Saccharomyces cerevisiae S288C: one gene and its partners. The gene in region 4 interacts genetically with the main gene of each other region. Each region holds a gene or a part of one and is shown on either strand. Other genes may lie near its edges.

Evidence for each region.
Region 1: mutations in NOP13 (region 4) and GIP2 together harm fitness more than expected from each alone (negative genetic interaction), as found in Saccharomyces cerevisiae (one large-scale study listed by BioGRID).
Region 2: mutations in NOP13 (region 4) and IRC4 together harm fitness more than expected from each alone (negative genetic interaction), as found in Saccharomyces cerevisiae (one large-scale study listed by BioGRID).
Region 3: mutations in NOP13 (region 4) and TDA11 together harm fitness more than expected from each alone (negative genetic interaction), as found in Saccharomyces cerevisiae (one large-scale study listed by BioGRID).

What each region holds. Positions count from the first base shown.
Region 1 is NC_001137.3:260,104-266,406, forward strand, and holds GIP2 (Gip2p), read right to left. Parts: upstream 3,596-6,303; coding exon 1,949-3,595; downstream 1-1,948. Other genes in the region: YER053C-A (uncharacterized protein), read right to left, coding at 830-943; HIS1 (ATP phosphoribosyltransferase), read right to left, coding at 4,789-5,682.
Region 2 is NC_001136.10:1,514,212-1,519,377, forward strand, and holds IRC4 (Irc4p), read right to left. Parts: upstream 3,465-5,166; coding exon 2,925-3,464; downstream 1-2,924.
Region 3 is NC_001140.6:414,385-420,577, reverse strand, and holds TDA11 (Tda11p), read right to left. Parts: upstream 3,030-6,193; coding exon 1,515-3,029; downstream 1-1,514. Other genes in the region: YAP1801 (Yap1801p), read left to right, coding at 1-205; PEX18 (Pex18p), read left to right, coding at 506-1,357; KEL1 (Kel1p), read left to right, coding at 3,399-6,193.
Region 4 is NC_001146.8:304,462-310,576, forward strand, and holds NOP13 (Nop13p), read right to left. Parts: upstream 4,152-6,115; coding exon 2,940-4,151; downstream 1-2,939. Other genes in the region: mitochondrial 54S ribosomal protein uL22m MRPL22, read right to left, coding at 1-154; TDA7 (Tda7p), read right to left, coding at 609-2,519; MDG1 (Mdg1p), read right to left, coding at 4,496-5,596.

The DNA of each region.
Region 1 (6,303 bases), on a different chromosome or scaffold from region 4:
AAGTATTCTTCGTAAGCGGTACTTTTCACTTGCTACTTGTCACCTTATTACCTATGTGCTGAGAGGGTAATGGTACGATGTTCCTTTTTGACACAATGCGTCTTTTCCCTATGCTGTAACAAAAAAAACAAAGGCCGAGGTTCGGATTTCTTAGCAGATCACGTGCTGACTTTTTGGAATACACCGTTAAAATTCTCACACGGTTAGTATTTACATTTTTTCAAGAATAGGGTTTTGCCGCTTACCTTGATATGCGGGCGATTTTGCGGGATTTCTGACATCTAATAACTTAGTAGTCATTGAAGGAACAAAGTTTTAGTCTTATTCGGATGTTTCCCTTCTTATTTTCGAAATGAAGCTTTTTGGAGAGATGGGGATAGGTGGCTTTTTGTGCCTTCCTCGAATGTCTAGCCGAGTCTTGCGATGGAAGGGCTAGACAGCATGTTTTAGAGATGTAGTAAGTTATATTATAATCATATTATAATTGCCTAAATATAGACGTATATCATATACAATAGCAAAAATACATAATTACGAACATAAAAATGAAAATAACTTTGGTCAAACAGCGTGAGCTGTCAAACGTATAAATCTTAAAAAACGTGTATTAAGTATGAGCTAAGAAGGCGCTCATCAATAGAAAACCGGATTAAAAACATCGAAAATTATTGAAAAAATATTAAGTGTAGTGTGGAAATGAATGAGTAGAAAAAAGATAAATTAGAAAACAGAACATCAACTTCGTAAATAGTAAAACGCTAAGCCAGACTAGGTAGAACTGACTTTGCATACCTCTCTTGGCGGCAGTAAGCAGATTAGCTGATTTAAATCACTGCAAGTAAGGAACATCGCTCTTGTTTCTGTTCATGACTGTTCTATGAGCACCAAAGTAGAAAACGAAAATGAAAGCGAAAATACTCAAAAAAATCTCTAAATCTTGCATTGTAGTGTGTACTGTGTAGTAAAGCTATTGTTTGTTTTTATTATTTCTATGTAGAATTCTGTAAAAGGACGAAAAGAATGTTTCCAAGCAGTATGTCTACCTCTGTCGTTGTAGAAGGGATTCCTACTTCTTTATATACAAAATGCACATCGGTAGAAATATCTAATTCTCTATTTAATTGAATGCATAAGGGGTACCAAAAAATCTCTCTTCACGTCTTATAGCTGAACAGTTATCGGATATAGGCTACCACATAAAAGAACAGGGATGTCCTAATACAGCAATCATTTTTTTTTTCATTACGTAAAAAGTAAAGTAAACCATCCATTCTCCCTTCTTTCAGTCAAATGCCGCAGTCCCTTACATTTCAAACTGAAGCGTCGGGATGAGACTGTAGAAAGAAGTAGGAGTAGTATGCAAAAAAAAAAAAAAAAAAAAAATATAACCTCTGCCGGAAGTGAAGGCACAAAAATAGCTCTCTCTAAATGGGCGGTGGAAGGGTGTTCAAAAGTAAAGAAATATAGGCGCACTTCTGAAGTCATCGTAGGTGAATAAGCAAGTCTTTATCGGCATGTTCGGGGTTTTTTTTACCAATGACGATTTCTGTCACTTAACTTTTTAGGCCTTCCGTGGTCGTGTCATAGCAACCCCTAGTTTTCTCTTCACATTTTGTCGCGTTTCCGTCGCACAGTAAGAGCTGTATAGCGTTGAATGAATGTAAAAAATGCTCACTGAAGGACGGTAGCCTTTACCAGTCTTTTACGTGCCGAATGCACATTTGTATATACGCCCACACACATCGAAGATCGGCTCCCGATTTCTTGTGAGATATTTATCTGTTTATTTGCTTATTTGTGATTTATGTATATTTACTTGAAATATTCTAGCATGTTTTAGAGTTATTTATCGGAGTTCGGTCCCAATCATGAGAGTAACTCAGGCCAAGATCTAGCAAGTCATTTTGCTTTTTATGTCCATTCTTCATCTCCTTCCTTCTGGTTGCCTTCATGCTGCCGCCGCGAAGGGATCGTTAAAGCCATCCATTACAACATCCACCTTATAATTATTCCCGTTGTTGTTGTCCCAGTACTCTTCGCGCTCATAGTCGTTACGTGTAGAATAATGAATGCAAAATTCTAACTTGCCGCGAGGATCCACTTTGCTGACATCATCGATAATGAAGTGGAAAATGTCCATGTTAGTGCCCGGCAATATTCCATCGCCATCACTGATGTAAACGCATTCCACTTCATGTGTTGTTCTCCAACTATCCCACGTATATCGTACCACCACTCTTTTATCATAGAAAATGTTTTTCACTAGTATCCTTCCAGCAATTAATCTTGTACAGCCAGCGTTATAACCCTTGGCCACACCATTACAGTCATTACCATTGTGGCTATTGGGAATATTATAAAATGAGGAGGAATTTGAAAAGTAATTGTTGTCTCTATGGATGTATAATGACAATTCTTGTAGAAAAACTTTCTTATTTTGTGATAAATTGATAAAAATGTTCAGCTTTAAACTTTTAGGATTCTTGTTGCTTAAAATGGGGAAGTTCTTGCTGTATAATCCAACAACATGGTAATTTTTTGAATTACGATCTGAAATTTCATGAGCACCGCCACCATTAACGAATTTTTTATTTGATTTTGATGGTGGCATGTCGGTCCTGTTCTTTAGGAGGTTCTGAAATCTTTTACTTTTTCTTAATTTTGTATTGTTGGTGCCTTTACCATTGTTTGGATTCGAAATTTTAGCAGGATGTGCGAAGCCTTTTGGCGCAACTGTCGTCAAGTCATCATCTATGGATGTCGTTTCTAATCCAGATGATAGCATTTTTGTCTCTTCTTCCGGGTCCACCATTAAATTCACTGGCTTATGCTTAAAGCTTAGACAATTATCGTGTTGTTCAGTTTTATTAACGTTTATAGGGCTTTCATCCTCAGCAAAATATTTTACAGGTGCCGCCTGATCAAAGTGAACACTCTTACTCCTAATCAACATCGGACTACCGTCTCTTGCTTGGACACCATTCCCGCTCCTTATACCTGGGGTTGTAGGTAATGATTTTGATCTTCTCTTCAATGAGCTCTTCAATAGTTCACCTGACTTTTTATATACAGGTGGCGCAAATGGAATTAGAATTTCTTCATCATATTCAAAATTCATATCATTGCCAGGTGACTTAGCTTCGGGATATTCTGCTTGAAAAGATTTTGGTACGGTGGATTTGGGGGAAAGGGGAGGCAGCTCTATTTTGAATGGGGGTCTCGTACTGCCATTTAATGATTCTACGGAAGTGTGATTCTTGGCAGCGGCAATTTTTGACCAGCCGCTCTCATTATCAACGTTTTCATCATTCCCTGCGGAGAAAATTCTTTTGTTTAAATCAGTGTTTCTTTGCACTTCTTCCTCTGGGAACCTGTTCGCTCTCATTTGAGTTACTCTCTGAGGTTTATGTAAAAACTTCAAAGAGTTTAAAGTCTCTTCCGTACTTCCATCTCGTTCTTTGTTGTATAGGTCCGAATTCACTCTGTAACCCTTGAAATCTGTTTCAAGATCTGGTAGCTGCTGGTTTTTATTTCTGTCTAGTTTTTCATTCTTCCTCTCAAACTGTTGGGGTTTCTGTTCTGCCTTTATATACATTGTTGCGTTGATGAAATCCTAATAAACTTGGGCTGTAAGAATAAAATTTTGACAAGATATCTGTACCCGTTCCTATTAAACTTGTTTCTGAGTACAACGGAGATCTTTTTGATGTTCAGCCTACTAAAAACTATACCTTACAGAAAGAAAAAAAAAAGTCCAATGTGGTTCCTTTCTCCTCAATCAAACAGAATGCCAACCTTCCTTGTTTCTTTTCCTTTTTTACTACTAAAAGGTTTTATAAACCAGACTTCTCTCTTTAAACGTCCCGTCAACCCTGCCTTTAGTAACTGCTTTCCCGTCTAGCTTTCTTTTCGTTCCTATTGTTTTAACCGTATTGTATGCAGGTTTACCTTCTATAAATATGCACTGAACTGGAAAGGCTATGTTTGAAAAGCTTTAGTTTTCTTCTGTTGAACGGATGGGCCCTGTGTTGCTTATTACGCAATGCAGTATATATAAAGGAACTCAACCTGAAGAAGAATATGCAAGATATAGAAAGACCGTTGCAATATCGAAATATTTCCTGTTGGATAGAACGAACTTCTTGGCCCCTTCATTGAGAAGCGTAGCTGATACACATTTTTGGTAAAAGACCTCATGGTAGCAGCCCCTTTCCCCTTAAAAAGACTTAATATGGCATACTGTTTTTCTTTTATGCGCTTCATTCCACGGCAAAAAGAACCTTTCCCCGCCCCCACTCTGCGACAGGAGTTTGCCGCCCATCTCCACAATAGGCATAGTTGTCGGTACCTTCCAGCGCTACGTCAGCCTCTTCCGGGCAAAAAATCGACGTAGCATGGAAAAATGCATTCTAGACAGCTTTATGCGTTACGATCCCCAATCTATGCTCCCTGGGGAGAGTTTGTACAGGTTTTCTCCAAAATAAAAATACCTACAAAACTCCGAATATTTATGGGTAGCTCCAGTTTTCGAAAATTGGAGAAATGAAGGGGGTTGAAGAAGAAGGTTTCATGAGCATGAAGACGGTAGTAAAGCTGACAAATATGCTACGAAGATTTAACTTCCTGGGGAAGTAGCAAAAAAAAAGAAAAAATATTCACAGAGATAACCTCAAAACACACTTGGGAAGTCATGAGGGGTAACTTAGAATAAGATAGAACTCTATCAAATTATTGCCTATAAAAAATACAAAATTAATCGGGATTTGGCTTCCCTTTTTCTGTTCTATCTTATACACGACAATTAGAAATTTCGAAAACCATGATATCAGATGCGCCGAGTCTTTTCAATTCATCTAAAACAACACCCTTCGTTTTTCTCTCAATCATGGAACTAACAGCAACCCATCCTTCATCGTCAATTTTGGAAATGGTTGGTGCTCTACGGCCAGGCGTCACCTTCAACAGTTCAGGCAGCTTGTCTTCAGGTGCGTTATAAATACATGAAACGAACCTTTGAGCGGTCATGACACCTTCAATTCTTGATTTGATAGTAGCAATCAAACTCTTATCGCTCTTTGGGTTCTTTGATTCTATTAGGTAGGCACTTGTGCTTAGGACGGTGGCAATATCAACTAAACCTGCTGCCCTCATTGTCTCACCACTCTCTACAAGATCTACAATAGCATCACCAATTCCCAGAGCACATGATGCCTCCACGGAACCACTGACAAACTTTATCCTTGTGGTCATTTTTTCAACAGTAGTACCTTCCAAATCGGCAAAGTATTTTTCAGCAAGTTTCACGAAACTGGTAACAATGGTTTTGCCAATTAACTGTTCTGGCTTTTTATACTCGCCATTTACGGGGACTTGTACCTGCAATTTACAGTTACCAAATTGCAAATCGATTGCTAAGTCTACGTCGACGTTAGATTCACGAACTTGGTCAACACCAGTTATACCAAGATCACATTTACCTTCACCAACAAAAGTTGGAATATCTGCAGCGGGCAGAAAGACCAACGCTACAGGTAAGCTTGTGCTTAGTGCAATGTCTAATCTTTGAGAGCGGTGAAAGGTAATATCAGCACCATTCAAAATAGAAACACTTTTAGAATATAAACGACCTTTCTTTGGGATTGCAAACAGTAGTCTATCGGTTAGATGGTTCACCAAATCCATTTTTCTATTGAATTTTTTAGAAACCTATCCTTTCTTTTCTATTTTCAAAGATTCAAACCGTTAATAGGAGTAAAATGCCAAAGTTTAGACGGTAAATACTTGCAGTTCACTGCGTATAAATGGACTTTCAGGCGAGTATATTCTGCAAAAATATTTTATAAGTTCCAACGGTAGAGGTGACTCACTTGGAAGCTTTTTTTTTCAATCGTTGGCTACGTGCGTACACGTGTTTTGCGGTCTCGCTTCGAAATGCCGAAATGAAAGAATTTCCGGGAAGAGTCACGCTGTTATCAATGACTTTGCAACTAATAAATTAACTAATAAATATTTTAATTAATTTTTTGACAAGGAGTCTAATACCTCGCATGCTAAACAACCTCTCTAGCCGGGTTGCCGGGTTACATCTCGTTCTCTTTACGTTCACATAGTCACATAACCACTAGTCACCTGTGCATTCTTACTTTTTTTTTTTCTTTTTGGCTTTTATTGTAAGACTGATATGCAGGCCACAAAGTCTCAATTAGGTCGCAGCCGTGCAAATTGTCTTGGCATTTTTGAAGTTTTGTATATACCATAGAGATTATCTTTGATATGTTACTAATATTGTAAAATACAGTTTGT
Region 2 (5,166 bases), on a different chromosome or scaffold from region 4:
AGATAATATTTGTTTCCGCTTTTATCATTGAATAGCTTAGAAATTCTCTCCCTAGCGACCATTTAAGGAATGTAGCTAACAAAAATGATTCAAGTATGTTGCTCCTAAGCAGATATGTACTCTATAAGTTGAATCACTATATCATTGAAATATAGTGGCGAGGGCGTACATAAAATCAAAGGAACTATGCAATAGACTCAATTAAATGCCACATAGCTATTTAAGACTCCAAATCTCCAATACAATCATTCGTTAAAGATTTTTTGTATTCTGCTGATATCTTTTTCTACAGTTTCTTGAGTGTCTAGTGATTGCATAAAATGACCACAGTATTTTTAGTACTCATGGCCTGTATGCAATTGCAAGGAACGGTATTACTTTTACAAAAACCCTGCTTTCCGGCAAGTTCAGCTGTCATTTGGTAAGATTTTGAAAATAGTGGAAACAATGGATTATCAACGAATAGTCTTTAAACATAAGTGCTAAAATTCAAAACATCATTTGATGCGTGCGGTGCATTTTTTCGTGCTGAATGAACTTTTGGAGATATCTGCCTTCGCCAATGAATATGCATTACCATTAATTGCATAGTAACCGTATACATGAAAATGGAAATAATGAACTGATTATTAAAAATAGCTAATGCAGGTGGGATTTGAGACATTGTGGTTATCCTGTCAGCCTGTATTTTGCGCTTTAAGGTATTTCATAAAAGTTAGAATAAAATTTAAAAGTTCCATTCTATGAAACTGTAATTATAGGTATATACTATCATCTACCAATCTTACCCATGTATAGTTCTAATATTAAAGACAGAGTAGGTAAAAAAAAAAATGGTAATCAAAACGTGATCGCTTATATTCGGTATGGACAAGCTTTGAATATTCCCTAGAAAATGCAATAGTATGTCATAATGAAAGAAGATTGTAATACAATGCTTGGAATGTCGACCGGCAGAAACCCGTGTCACATGGCCTTATTCAACGTGACGTTGTGATATATGTAGAACATGCTTTAGATGAGGCGGTATTTGACTGTAGCATCTTCTAAAATGTGCTGATATTGTTAAATCTCAATCAAACTGAGAGAGTATGAGAGACTGAAAAAGTGGGATTCTGCCTGTGGTGCTAATATCCTTAAAATGCTAAACTGAAAGAAGTAATATAATCATATATATTGATCATGTATCATACAAAAGATGCATGTATTTTAGTAATATTAACTGCTACTATGATGTAGTAGACGATCGATAATCGAATCTTGCGGTATATTCTAGGATCCTTCATGTTGAGTTAATCGGTTATACTTCTGTCGCTGTGGCAAACTGATGTATGCGCCAACTTGAGACCATTGTCTCCACATTACAGAGGTGCTTCTAAGTCATCTGTTTCTAAACACTTTAGCTTTCTATAATATTCTCTTCTAGCGACTTTCCTTTATTGTCCTATTATATAAAGCAATCATACACGGAAATGTAAACCCAGGTCGCTAGAGTGTGTATAAAGGAAGATTATTTTGAAAATTATGAAAGTTTTCTAGATGTCTGTTTTCTTTATGCAGGATATTAAATACAAGTTTGTGCTTAAGAAATTTCCATGAAGATATCAACATTTATTGTAGGAATTGCATAAATAGATGAATTATGTGCCGCTGGACGTTTATAGATAGCATAAGCACAATGACTTAAAGGTTATAATACTCATTGATATCACTCTGATTATAAAATCGTAATATGCGAATAGGTGAACTAATCGGAATAACCCATACGACACTTCAAGCTTCAATTCTATTTCAACTGTAGTGCCTGCTAGTGAAGAATACAAAAGTAGCATACGTGATGTGCAAAAAATGCGCTACTTATCACACAAGTACCTTGCGCAAGAAGGGTACTCTAAACCGGGGCCATCGCATTACCAGACGGAGATGTATTCTTTATGAAGCAATAATTGGAGGTGTATCAAGTTCGAAACTGCTGATGCTATGGATTTACATCTTTCTTATGCACAAGGCTTGCTTGTGTTTCTGAGTAGTTAGTTTTTAGATTTTTGTCAAGTCTGGGGTAAGTTAATTCGAGCAAAATTAACGGCACGTTATTCTAATGCATATGTTGTTCATATATTCTTTTACAAAGAGGTTTGGAATGATGTCACCGATGTTAGAATGTTAGGAGAATTTCATGTGAATTTTAGTCCAAGTGTTGAAGTTCTCTTCTGCAGTTAGGGCACGTACATGGCAACGATATCGTTTTTGATGTATTAATCTTAGTAGGCGTTGAGTTTGTATGTTACTTTTCTCAGGTGATGAAGCGTGATGACGATGACAAAAATGGGTTATAATAGGGCGCACTATCATCATGCGTGATTGATATTTAACCAATGTCTTGAGTACATCAACTCCAGAAAATGGGTCATTATATGCCTAGCATGTATTATTTGAGACATAAAGTTTTATCTCGAGACCTTGACGTATAGGAAAGATCTTAATCAAGTGACATTACTTTAAAATTTAAAGTATGTGCCATGTATACCATATACGATAGCAGAATGTGACACAAGCTATACCATACGTCTCTGATCGACATTCATGTATGGTATCGTCTATATCTTTGTTGCTTTAAAGGTTAGCGTATAGTAAGGTAAATTAACTATATGATCAATACTGTGTGTGTAGAGTACAATAAAATATATGGGAAGAACATAAAAAGTTCGTATTGTGACATGTTATTGAGGCTATGGTAAGCGTAAGAGAGTTTTGTCTTTATACTGCTGTACATTATATGAGGTTTTGTTAAATTGACTCATAATAATCGAGATTCATTTCTCAAATATAATAATATCAAAAAATATGATATTAAAAAAGGTTTTCCTGTGGTAGTTTCTAAATCCTGCAAGAAAAAAAATAGACGGCCATATACAACTTTCTCATTATATCTTCCTCCTTTTTATGCGTTGTTCTTCAGGCACTAGTCTCTTCCATTTTCTAATTTTTCCTCTAAAGTTTGTGAAAGGAGCAACCGTGTTGATATGGATCCATTTATACACAGGCCACATAGCTTTAGTTGTAGCCCATTTTCTATTTCCCGCTTGAAAGAGCTCATCATCAGATAAAGTAGATATCCATTTATAGACCTCGTTTACGGCCTCTCTCAGCTTGGCTCTTTGCTCCTTAATGGAGTAGATTCCGTATTTTTTATAAAATGACTGGTATAATCCTCCTAAATTGTTCCATTTATAACCAGGCGCAGGAGTTTCCACATTATACCCAGCAATTTCCTTTGCTTCCCACTCTAATAATAAATTAACCCAGCCCAATTGATAAGAGAGGTTTTCAGAGGGTGTTCTATCCACTGTTTCAACTTTTTCGTCTTTTTGAGATTCAGAGATTGTTTCAAATTCTGCATCATATTTTTCATATTTTTTTTCAATCTCTTCCTTTAGTTCTTTTTTACTGGTATATTCTCTCATGATAGTTTTTTTTTTTTCAATTGTTATTATTTAATTCGTTTAATTACCAATCTATAGCGATGTAAGTCTCACTATTAGCCGCTATTAGATTTTTTTCCATTTGCCAATATTGATTTTTAATCGCATTCATTATTTGATCAAATTTATATTAGTATGTACACACTCAAATAAAAGAAAATAGGGAAAAAAAATTTGCCTGCTTCAATTAGGCTTTTGGTACCTGATATCCGCTCGAGATTAAGTGCGGCCCTCTCCACCCGATAAGGAACAAAGGGCATGCTTCCTTTTTTAGCTTTACGCACTATTGTCAAATTGTTTATATAAACAGGCTGATATAGAATTCATCCTGAAAACAATGGTAAAGTTTTTCTTATTGCACTTCGCTATCCTAAATTCAGGGTTGAGATTTCTTTCTCTTTATGAATTAATGTACGATACGCTTCAGCCTTTCGGCAGTGCATACATATCCTAGCGCGCTGATAGTTGGCCACGTCACTTTCTTGCGCTCCGTAGCATCATTGTTCTTTGACGTAAGAACGCAAACTCTGGCATTATGGAATGCATACCGGTATCTGATAATAAAAATCTTGGATACTTTCCTACAGGCCATCCGGAATCATGTCAGCACAAGAAACAACCATATTCCACTACTGAGGTTCTTATGATAGTACCATATACTTACAGCGTTAGACGATAACAACAAATATAATATTAATTGAGCAAAGTTCTTTACTGTCATTCAAATCGGTGAGTAAGAGTAAAAATTGACAATGAAATAACATCTATGAATGAAATCAAGGGAAGTTTCTGAAGTAAAAATTGACCATTATTCACTACTAGTAGTCGCGTTATTAAGATAATATACTGAATGGAGTTAAAGATGAGATAAATGATGAGAAACAGTCTGCGAGTATAATGGAACATGAAGCGCAAGGGCTGATTTTGTAATAAGATAATGAATGAAAACGTGTAAAACAGATAAAGAAATAAAACAGATTAATGTGTAGAATTATCGATTCCCTTTTATGGATCTCTATGTCCCCGAGGAGCACTTCTAGTGTATTCTGTATAAGTAATAATATTATCTCAAGCAATAATGAATTCCCAATAATTATCTCAAAATCCACTCACTCATAATAATTATATATGACGCATTTAATTTCAGCTCTATGTGCATAACATTAAAATGGAAGATCAAAAATTACACTCTTCACACATAAGTGCAAAATATAGAATCATTTAAGCAATATTGCATCCTGCATATGATTCTGCGTTTTTTTTTTTTTCATTTTGAGCAGAGGAGATTGAGCAAGGATTTACGCTTGCACAAAGTATCCTTGACTTGAAAAGGAAGTTAAAATCGCATGAGAAATGCAATAACTTTATCGGTACGCCATATAACATATGAACATTTTTTAGTAATATTATAGAAGAGGTGATTGAAACGAGATAGTACGCGTAGCAAAACAATGGTAACTAGTGAGATACATTACCAAATTATCCCTGTACTCTTGTGATTTCGCATCAATTTTTCCATATGTTGAATTACAGAATTCCAAAGGCAGGATCTCTGATCTACTGTTTTCTATAATTTCTTTGATTCCATCTGATATTACGCCTAAAAAGTATAAGTCTTTCAACGACTTATACTTCATAATTACATAATACGGTTACACATATAGGTATCTTAAATTGATCACAA
Region 3 (6,193 bases), on a different chromosome or scaffold from region 4:
GCAACAGCAACAACAGCAACCACAACAGGGTTATTATGTGCCTGCAACTGCAGGAGCCAACCCTGTTACAAATATAACTGGGACAGTTCAACCTCAAAATTTCCCTTTCTATCCACAACAGCAACCACAACCGGAACAGTCTCAAACACAGCAACCAGTTTTAGGAAACCAATATGCTAACAACCTCAATTTAATTGATATGTAATATCTAGTATAATCAGGTATGTAAGGGAGTACTCAAGTGCATCTTTGGATAGCTATATATAGTTGTAAGGAAGAGCTATGTAATTTTTGCCATTTTGTACATATTTTGCATTTGTCCTATAGTATGTAATACTTACATCTTACTGTCTTCAATTCCTCCCGCCAACAAAAGATTTCGATAGCGCCGCACCATGGAGTTTATATTGTTATTTCCGAGACGACCTATATAAGGGAAAAGACGAAAACTGGGTATTTGATACTTGTCTAAACTTCAATGGACAAATGATATAAAATACAAACAATGAATAGTAACCGATGCCAAACGAATGAGGTGAATAAATTTATTAGTAGTACAGAAAAGGGGCCTTTTACGGGCAGGGACAATACGCTCTCTTTTAACAAAATCGGGAGCAGACTGAATTCACCACCGATTCTGAAGGATAAAATTGAGCTGAAATTTCTACAACACTCAGAAGATTTGAATCAATCACGGTCCTACGTAAATATTCGTCCTAGAACCTTAGAGGATCAAAGTTACAAATTTGAAGCGCCAAATCTAAATGACAATGAAACTTCTTGGGCCAAGGATTTTAGATATAACTTCCCTAAGAATGTTGAACCGCCCATCGAAAATCAAATCGCGAATCTTAATATAAACAACGGGCTACGGACATCTCAGACAGATTTTCCCTTAGGCTTTTATTCACAGAAAAACTTTAACATTGCTTCCTTCCCTGTGGTTGACCATCAGATATTCAAGACAACAGGTTTAGAACATCCTATCAACAGCCACATTGATTCTTTAATTAATGCTGAATTTTCGGAACTGGAAGCCAGTAGTTTGGAAGAAGATGTCCATACAGAAGAGGAAAATTCAGGTACGAGTCTGGAAGATGAAGAAACTGCCATGAAAGGTTTGGCTTCCGATATAATTGAGTTTTGCGATAATAATAGTGCCAATAAAGATGTAAAAGAAAGACTAAACAGTTCAAAGTTTATGGGGCTGATGGGCAGCATTAGTGATGGTTCTATAGTTTTAAAGAAGGATAACGGTACAGAAAGAAACCTTCAAAAACACGTAGGTTTTTGTTTTCAGAATTCAGGAAACTGGGCTGGTCTTGAGTTCCATGATGTTGAAGACAGAATTGCTTAACGGGCCTTGAAATTTCTTTAATTTAAACCATGAATTTCAGATATATAACACTTTTTAACCACTTTCAAGAGAAAACAGTATTAAATTACATACTGCGTTCACAGCTATACGTAAAAAGAGTGACAAGTGAAGAATAAACGTCATTTTGAAAAAGGAATTAGAAGTCTGTCATTTCAACTGAGTTTTTGACGGAGGAATTATCATTATCGGGTTCTCCAATAAAACTTAGCTTGTTACTACTTCTTTTACTTTTTTTTTCTCGTGTTCGATGTCCACTTTCATCTGTGAGACTATTATTCCCAGCATTGTCTTTCTGGAACTTAGTTGTCGTTTTAAATTTCCTCATGTTTAAACTAGAATCGTCGCCACTATCTTCTGCTTGCCCCCGGTTCGTAATTTTATGTGTACTTTTTTTCTGTTCATGCTGTCTATCGCTTTTATATACAGGATCACATCTGTTATCAGTAATAACATCATTATCGTTTTCTTCTTCTATACCGAGTAATCCGGCCTTGACATCGCTAACAAAGCTCCAAAGCGACCTGGAGACTGATCCTTGCGAAGGAGATTTTTGGCGAGCTCCAGGTGCTTCATTATCGTACTGTTGCGCGGACGACTCGCTATTACTAGTCGGTGTCCCTTCCTGTACCTCAGGCGTACCTGAAAGAGAGTCATCCCAATTCAGAGTTCTTTCAATTTCATGCTGAATGATTTTATCAAACTGATTAAACAGAGCTAATGGTTTGCTCCAAAGTGACTGTTTGGATGAATCTGACGAGTCGTCCCTTTGGCGCCTTTCTTGAATATCTTGCGGAGACACAGATCTTGACTGATTAGTACTTTGATGACCCATGTTCTTTGGTTTACTGACAGAACTAGGAAGGCTGCTGTTACCAGCATTTTCAGTTCGTGATTCCAAAGGTATATTCTGGTAAACCGGTGAAAAAGCCCGGTTTTTAACAGGTGTATTTAGAGAGGGATCCAAATGTTTACTCACTTGCTCCTTGAGTTCATGCAGTTCACGTGCCCGACGAGTATAGTTTTGCTCTTCATGCTGGGTTTGCTTTTTCAAATCTTCAATCTTTTGTTTGCATTCCAGAAGTTCTAACTCTTTTGTAGCGAGAGATTGTAGAAGCGCACTTACATCGACCCCATTTGTTGGTATGGTGGTCGCTATCATACTATTAACCGACTGCGAACTCCCATTTCTAGACCGTCGAAGTCCGCTGGCCATCGCTTGCTCACTAGAAAGTACAGTGGTTGACTCTAATGGGATTCCATAGGATCCCTCAGAATGACTTACTGAAGGTAAGTTGTTTTGAGATTCTGGTGTAGTGGGAACAACCATGGGTTGAATAAGTGATCTTCTCTTGCTCATTGCATTTGGAACTGAGACAGAAGAATGACGAGTTACCACCCTCCTAGCATCTGGCTTGGCTTGTAAGGGATGGTCCTGGTCATTTAATCTGGTAGGCGTCATTAGTCTTTGCGAATGCATGCTTCCCGCACTGGACGTACGATGGTGTTCTAGCCTATATCCATTGGAACTAGCAGAACGAATCTTTCGTCCAGTTTTCCTCACAGGTGACATCGAAATTATACTATTTCGGGTACTGGTGTCCACATCCAAATCCTTCTCATTAGACTCTATAAACTCGTCAAATTTATTCATATCAGTGCCCTAGGAGATAGATTTAATTATCCTCGGATCCATGTAGTGGTAATTGAGAAAAGCACAGTTAGTATTGGCCTTTTTCCTTACCTATTATATTGAACTTTACAACTTGTACCCTTCATCACCTTTGGAATCACGCGGCACGTCTTCTGGGGACTTGGCGACGCGGTTGTTGATAGTAAACTACAAGCAAGCATTCCTTTAAAATACGAAACAATAAGATATAGAAAAGCAACAGGGCTCGTTCTATAAAGTAATTGTTTTGCTTGATTTGTGATACTTACACTTATTAACAAATTCACAGTAATTTTTCAGGAAAAGTTAGAGCCCGTTTGCTTCAATTTGCACCTAGAAAATAACTCAAACATGGCTGGATTCAGCTTCGCCAAGAAATTCACTCACAAGAAACATGGAAAGACGCCTTCTGATGCTTCTATCTCTGACCAATCTAGAGAAGCTTCACTGTCAACTCCTCCAAATGAAAAATTTTTCACAAAACAAGAAACGCCTCAGAAAGGGCGTCAATTTTCACAAGGTTACCATTCTAATGTTAATAAAACTAGTTCACCACCTATGTTTGCCAGAAAACAGGTATCCGAATCAAGGATTCAACCGAGCGCAGTACCACCGCAACAGCGAAATGTCTCAGGACCGTCCACTACTCTCCATAAGCAGCTTTCAAAACAGAGAGAATATACCGTATGGAATAGAATCAAGTTACAGAATTCTCCTTTTCCACGTTATAGACATGTTGCTTCAGCATATGTTACAGACAAGAACCAGATATATGTTATTGGGGGACTTCATGACCAATCTGTGTACGGCGATACATGGATATTAACGGCCTTCGATAATGCCACCAGATTTTCCACTACAACGATAGACATAAGTGAAGCTACACCACCACCAAGGGTAGGCCACGCTGCTGTATTATGCGGGAATGCCTTTGTTGTATTTGGCGGTGACACACACAAAGTCAATAAGGAAGGTTTGATGGACGATGACATATACCTTTTGAATATTAATTCCTATAAATGGACAGTCCCGGCACCCGTGGGACCACGTCCATTGGGAAGGTACGGTCATAAAATTTCGATTATCGCCACAACTCAAATGAAAACAAAACTGTACGTGTTTGGTGGTCAATTTGATGACACCTACTTCAACGACTTGGCTGTTTACGACTTATCTTCTTTTAGAAGACCGGACTCTCATTGGGAATTTTTGAAACCAAGGACCTTTACACCACCACCTATTACCAATTTTACTATGATATCATACGATTCTAAACTATGGGTATTTGGTGGCGATACCTTACAAGGTTTAGTAAATGATGTGTTTATGTACGACCCTGCAATAAATGATTGGTTTATCATTGATACCACGGGTGAAAAGCCTCCTCCAGTTCAAGAACATGCTACTGTAGTCTACAACGATCTGATGTGTGTTGTAGGCGGGAAAGATGAGCATGATGCTTATTTGAACTCCGTGTATTTCCTAAACTTGAAATCGCGTAAATGGTTTAAATTACCTGTATTTACGGCTGGAATTCCGCAAGGCCGTTCTGGGCATTCTTTAACATTATTAAAAAATGATAAAATTTTGATTATGGGAGGAGATAAATTTGATTACGCTAGAGTCGAGGAGTACGACTTGCATACCTCTGATATTGATATGCAAAGAGGTACAATTGTTTATACGCTAGACTTGGCCCGCATAAAGGACCTTTGTCCAGGCGTAATGGATGTTCCAACTGATACGCCAACTCCGAGAAATGGTAATCTTGACCTGGCGACGCCCGTTACCCCAACCTCTCATCAAACTAAAAATATGAACGTACCAATTTCAGCAGCTCCTCTAGCTTCCGCTCCATCACCTGCACCAAAAGATTTTTCAGATGCTGATCGCCTCAACAGGGAGGTACACAATCGAAATGTGTCAACAGAACACCAAAATCAGAGCCACCCAGTAAATTCTGAATCTCACTTGATTGCTGAGCCTAACATTTTGACTCCATATGTTCCATCTGAAAGCTCACAAACGCCGGTTATGAAAATAACTTCCAACAAACCATTTGATACGCCTACTATCCAGAAAGAACCTGATCTTTCTGAAACTATGGATCCAACAGTTGGAAATCAGCGCATCCCATCTTCAATCTATGGAGATAATCTCACCCCTGCAAACCAAATAAAGAATAACTCCCCAATATTAGAGACGCTTCCAAGTAATGAGATAAAAACGCCCCAAAATGGTAATATAGAGGAAATAAAACATCTTCCTGACGCTGATGAAAAAATAGATTCCACGACGACCTTCGACCAAGAGATAAACGGGGACAAACTAGGCACATCTTCGATGTCCAAGGTTGAAGAGGACGGCAATGTTGCTGACGAAGACGACGAAATCGGTGTGGCTCAAATGGCGAGCTCCCCATCCAAAGATCAGTTCAAAATAAAGCATTATAATGAATCTTCAGAATTATCACAGAATAATACGGAGATCGACAAACTGTCCGAGCCTGTGGATATTACAATAAAGAAAAGCGACACCGCGGGCCATGATAGTGCTAACCATGTTATTGATGCAAGTGATGAAAAAAACGTGTCCCCAATGGGAGACGTTCCAACTGATACGAAAAATGAAGAAGCTAGCGTTCCTATAAATAGAGATGCTACTACCGAAGTCGTAGATAGGGCACTATTTGAGAAATTAAGATCGGAATTGCAAAGTTTGAAAGAATTGACGCACGAAAAGGCGCTTGAAGCCGGAGCTCACATAAAGGAATTAGAGACGGAGCTATGGCAGTTAAAATCCCAGAAGAATTCTGGGACAACGAAAGAAATAGATGAATTGGATTCCGTCAGACTGCAATCAAAATGTGAAATACTAGAGGCAGATAATCATTCCTTGGAAGATAAAGTTAATGAGCTAGAAGAGTTGGTGAATAGCAAATTCTTAGACATAGAGAATCTAAATGAAGTTATACAATTTCAGAACGAAAAAATTAAATCCTTAGAACTAGAGCCTAATTACAAAGAAAAACTTGAAGAACTACAGATAGAACATGAGAATTTGAGTAGAGAAAATGAAAGGTTGAAAAATGAAAGCAAACAACATAACGAAGATATAATCAATAATGTTGCGAATTACTCGTCACA
Region 4 (6,115 bases):
CCTTTGGTTTATTTTCTGTAATGCTTCCGAATAGTGATCCTCCTGAATTATTAAGACTTATTGGCGTTACATGAATCCAACGTCTACTTACAGAAGAAAGTAGAGCCCTAGAAATGACACCGACCTGAGATATTCTTGCCGTGTGGAAGTTCATTTTCTTTAATAAAAAAGATAGGGTGAGGTGAGGTTCTCTGACTTGCTATGCGGCTCCTAATGGCGTATGTTAAAATGCCTTCCAGATTGGATAGTTGACTTTTATTCAAAATCCCGAGTACAGTGAAGGCTTAGTTACCCCGCCCACAGAAGATTAATAGAATATCATGAGTACTGTTCAAGCAGCAAGCAGGAGAAAAGACTGAAAGAGTTTCGTATAATTTAGTATTTATTTATTTAGGAGAACTAAAATATTTTCTTTATACACAAAGAACAAAGTTTTCTTTTTTTTTCATTGCAGAATGGTATCATTGTTTTTTATGCCTTTTAAAAGGCCTTGTCGTTCTTCACTATTGGCAATAAAGATGTTTTTATGATTTTTAATAGTAGTGTTATTCAGCAAGAGCTGATTTTGCTTAATTAGTAAACATCATACTAATAGACTGAAGTCATCGTCATATAATTTCCCTCAAGAACCCTTGTGAATTGTTCTGAACTGTATTTCTCTCATCATGAGAGATGTCATTATCTAAACCACGTCCGAGTCGTATCGAATTTGAAGATAAAGTAGAAAAGCCACCTTGAGTAGATGAACCCAATGACGAATATGTAAATGAAGAGCCATAGGAAAATCTGTTTTCCTGGTCCATGAAATTACTCCGCATATTTTGAAAGGAGCCATTCATTGCGGTAACATTCCTTGGTGGTGGCACTGGAGGAGGATTTCCTCTTGCCTTAAAATTGAATTCGTTGCTGAACGGATTATTAGCAGAAGCAGTCTCGGTGTTTCGTTGCTGTGATCCCGAGTCTTGAGCTTGAAGTGACGCCTCTTTTGCTTGGGCAGTTGTTGGGAATCCCGTTCTGCGCCCAATCTCGTGACAGAAGGAATCGTTTTCCTTGAAATGCCTCTTTGCCTTCCTTTTTCTAACCAGCATGAACCAAACTACTAGTACACATATAAGAATACCACCGACGCTTCCTACCACACTTCCAACAATGGTACCAGTATTTGTCTTTGAAGTGCCTTGGTTTTTGTTATTATCCAAACTGCCATCAAGCCAGTGCTGATAGAAAGACATGTCAGCTGTGATCGTCGAAGATGGAGCGGAAAATGAGGTTACCTCACTTTTTGCAACTGCTATGGTCGTAGGTAATCCCGTCACGAACGTTGTAGAGGAGTCAGTAATATCATATGTTTGGGTATAGAAATAATAAATAGTTTTTGAATCTTCGGAGCTTGAAATGGCTACCGTATTGAAGACCTGACTGGATGTTGGTATGGGAGACGTAGAAATCGTACTAGTGCTGGGTGTTTGAGTGGTGGGTGGTATACTGCTGCTAGTAGTAGATTGTAAGGACTGAAAAGTATACGTGCTTGAGTAAGCACTTGTTGTATCATCTGATGATGATGATGATGAAGGACGGTTTGAAGGTACTTTACTGCTGGATGAGCTAACAGAACTTGACGTTGGCACGGAAATCGTGCTTATGGAAACTGTCGAAGATGAAGCTGATGGACTGAGTTTCGATGATTTGCTTATGGTTGAAAAATCGTTCGTCGATGAAAGCGATGAACTGTAAAACGATGTGGAAGTATTCCGACTGGAACTTGGGAATGTGGTATCTTTATTTGATATCGTAGAAGGAGAAGAAATTGTTGAGAACCAACTAGAAGAGAGTTCTGAAGTGGTACTAATTTGAAATGAAGTTGCAGATATGGAAGACAAGTATGTGTAACTAGGGGATATTACGGTGGGTGTTGATGGTGAGAAAATAGAAGATCTGCTGTCGAACGAAAACAATTTAGTGTCTGAATATGATGAAGATAGTGATAATGACAACGAGGACGATACCAGTAACGAAGATGGTGATGATAACGACGACCATGATGATGACAGCGATGTAGCTGATGACGATAACGTTGGTGTTGTTGATGTTAACGATGACCATTCCGACGTTATTGACGACGATGATGACATTGGTGACGTCGATGAGAAAATGGACATGGATGGTGTAATTATTGAGTATGAGGAGGTAGCTGGGTCATATTGGGAACTATACGTATCTTGCTCGCTCGATGAACTGCTGTCGGTAGATGATACTAAAGTACTTGTCGAAGATACATCAATGGATGTATGCAAAGTCTCATCATATGTTAAGCTTGTAGAATAATATGTAGGAGTAGCTGTACTAGACACGGGCGGTAATGAGGTCAGACTTCCTTGTTGGGGTACTAAAGTTGAAGTAGATGCGAAGACAACATCCGTTGATCGTGAATTCAGACTGCTACTTGGTTCACTGAATGACAGGGATATCGTATCAGATTCTCCAAGGGTGGTCCTTCCGATGGTACTATTGGAGTTCATACGATGGCCAAAATAATTACTCTATCCAGCTTTTCTTTTAGATTTCCTTCAGATATCGACGGATGGGGATTGAAATACTAAATGTGTGTCTTAAGCGAAAGTGTGCCAACAACCAGTCCAAAAAACGGATCAGTAGTGTTTCGGTACCTGGTGAGTAGTTTAGGATTTTATGAGTGTACGGCGATTATCAGTGTATTACTAATATGCGAACCGCTCCTAAAGATCTTGTTTACCTCATTTCTTTCTTCTTTTTTTTTTTTTTTTCCGTGCGTTCTCCCCGTGCCTTGATAAGCAATAATGGAAAAAATAAAAATAGCAGCAATTGGTTATACAATGTATATATAAAACATGAATGATTGAATAATTTACAAGCGAAATAATCGCATTATATACGTGGCACCTACAGTCAGTTCACGCTGATTAGTCAAACTTCACTTTCTTACCTTGTGATGGGACAATAGCTGCAGAACCTCTCTGAGCAGTGGCTAAAGCTACACTGCTCTTAGTTCGGTTATTGGAATCTACAGGTGGACGTCTGTTGGCGTTGGACCGCTTGTATTCGGGTTTGCTGCCGTTATCCTGTCCCGCACGATCGTATCCTTTGTTGTTAGAGATATCAAATGATGAGGAATTGTTTCTGGATACATTTTCAACCTTCTTACGAACTTGTCTTTTACTTCTATCTTCACCGTATTCCATTCGCAATGGCCTTCCGGCAATTTTTCTACAACTTTTATCCTTTAATGCATTAGTAGATCCTTCTTCATTCTTGAAGTCGATAAATGCGAATCCTTTACATTTACCACTATCTTCGAATGTTGCCATGCGGATTTTCACGATATCACCACAATGTTGGAAGTGTTTTCTTAACAGATCATCTGTGACATCGAATGACAAATTACCGACAAATAGAATCCTTGACGGTGGATTTTTGGACATGGCAACTAAATCGTCCTTGTCTGGCCTACCTGAATAATTTTCGGAGTCCTTGATTAGCATATTCCTTCCGTTTAAATGAGATTCAGATAATTCTAAGACCGCTTTCATCTGCTCGACGTTCTTGAAAAACATGTAGCAAAATCCCTTATTTTTCATGGCGTTAGAGTTCTTGGCAGCAACACGAGGCATGGATAACCTGGTTATGTCTTGTTCGGTGACTCTGCTCTTTTCATCTTCGTTGTCTTTTGTTTTAGCAATAAAAAATCTTACTAAATCGTCCTTTGTGGTGTCGAAGGATAAGTTACCAATCCAAACACCATATTTATTTTCATCTTTCTTCTTCTTTTTTACAACCTCGCCAGATTCATCTCCTGTTGGAGTGTTGATTGTAGATTCTTCACCCTGGGCGTCTTTCTCAGAAGCACCAGACTTTTTCTTTTCAGCATCTTCTTTGTATTCCTCGATTGACTTAGGGTCGATATTGTACTTCGCATTCAACTCCTCTAGAGTAACTTTACCTCTTCTCAAGAGACGTTTCTGTTTTTTTGATAGGGGAATGGAGCTTTTCAGGTCAATCTCAATTTCATCTTCAGCTTTTCTCTTTTTTGTTGGATCGAGTAAAGCCTTCTTGACTTGTTCCTCGTTATCCTTTTTTGTAACAGCATCTTCTTTCGACAGTTCTGTTTCTGACATTCTATCTCAAATTATAGAAAGTTGTTGGGTTTAGGTAATGTTCTGTGGGGAAAAGGATTTCTCTTTGTTGTATGGTTAAATTTATCATCTATGCTCATCGCAATTTTTTCTTTCAGACTGAAAAATTTCAGGTTTTTGCATTTCAACGGGAAACGTGACTCCTACAGAATTTTCTGAGCAAAGGCGTACAAGCGAAATACAAAGACAAGCATGTGCTTTCGGCAAAAGTGCGATCCTACATCAGAGTTTACATACAACATGGTATTGTTATTAATACATAATTAGGTTTTACATAGTTAGGTATGGCGAGTACGTCATATATTTAGGTATTCTCCTGATTGTTTTCACTTCAAAAGCTGGGCCAACTTTTTAAAGAACCCTCCATTCTTAGCAGGGTTCTTTTGGACACCTTTATTTGGTGTTTCTTTCGTGCCCTTAGGTTTCGAAGGTCTAGTAGCTTTCTTAGCTTCGATTTTTTTTGCGGCAGCGGTAGGAGCGCCCTGTTTCGTCTCGTAAGTTTGAGTCTCAGTCGCAACCTTGCCGGTTGGTTTCACAGAAGTCTCTTTAGCATGGCTTGTAATTGAGCTTACAGGTACTTTTTCTTCCGGTTTTTCAAATTTAGCGGATTTACTTAATGGTTCCTTATTTTGATCTTCTGAAGCTTCAGCGTCTGCACTTGTACTGGTGTCCTTACCGCCGCCTTTATCTTCGTCCTCTTCCTCTTCTTCCTTTTCAAGATCTTCGGCCGATAGTTCATATAATCTAGACTCAGAAGATTGCGTCTTACCCAAACCGTCCGTAACATATCCTTCACTCTTAACTAGATTAACTTTGGGGTGATTCTCTTCATACGGCTTGATTGCTTTTTCCTCGTTTACACCAACATTATTCTCAATTATCGTTGTAGTACCGCTTAAGCCATCCGCATTCTTGCCCGTTTTGTTCACCTGCTGGGTTTCATCCTCGCTATCGGGCAATTCAACCACTTCTTGGGAAAATATCGACCTTTCTCCGGTTTGTTTATTTGTCTTGATCACTCTCTTGATCTTGAACTTTCTTAATTTTTTTGCACGTTTTTCAGCTTCTGGTTCGATAAGAGGGGCATTCTTTGAAACAGCTAATCCGGCACTTTCAGGTACCAGCGTGCTAGAGCCATTTTCGCGTTGCTTTATTACGTCTTCCTCGGTAATAAAGTTGTTTTCCACTCCCTCGTCGATGTTCACCTTGTAGTCTTTGCTTGGCAGCCATTGGCCATCAACAATAAACTTGAAATAAAACTTGCTGCTAGGGCTATCAAACGTTACTGGCAGCGTTATTTCGAAGGCGCCACTGGGGTCCTTCACCATCGGCAAAGTACCTTTCCAGTCGTCGAACGTGCCTGTCAGAATAATTGCTTCGGGTCCTTTGGGCCATTTGAACGTAAATTGAGGTAAGCTCGATTGCATTCTAGAAACACTTTCCCTTTAATATTATCTTATAATGCTTAGAAAGTTAAATACCATCAAGAGAAAGAAAATTAGGTAATACAGAGGACAGAAGGACAGAAGTCGTTTCTATATTACATAAAAATCGGCCACCTTTTATTTTTTTAAACCACAAGAGAGGGGGAGAATGATGGATGTAAAACCTTAACCATGTCAATGCAAGGGCTCCCGCCCCAAAAGTTCCTATCGGGCCCCTTCGCTTCGCTGCCCCAGATATTTGCGGAAAAGGCCAGCCTCGCAGTATTTCACCAATGCCCTTACTTTGATAGTATGTATTTTGACTACTTTTTTTCATTTTTATCGCTTCTTTTTACTTTGTGCGGTGTAAACCCTACACAAAATAGGGCTTTCATTTAGTATTTACATTTGCACAAAAGTAGAGAAGATACGTAATAGTCATTGAAAGCATCGACATTTTTGGTGCTTGCTGACAAATTCACGGTGACAAAGTGAGCTAGAATATTGCTTATCGATAATCAG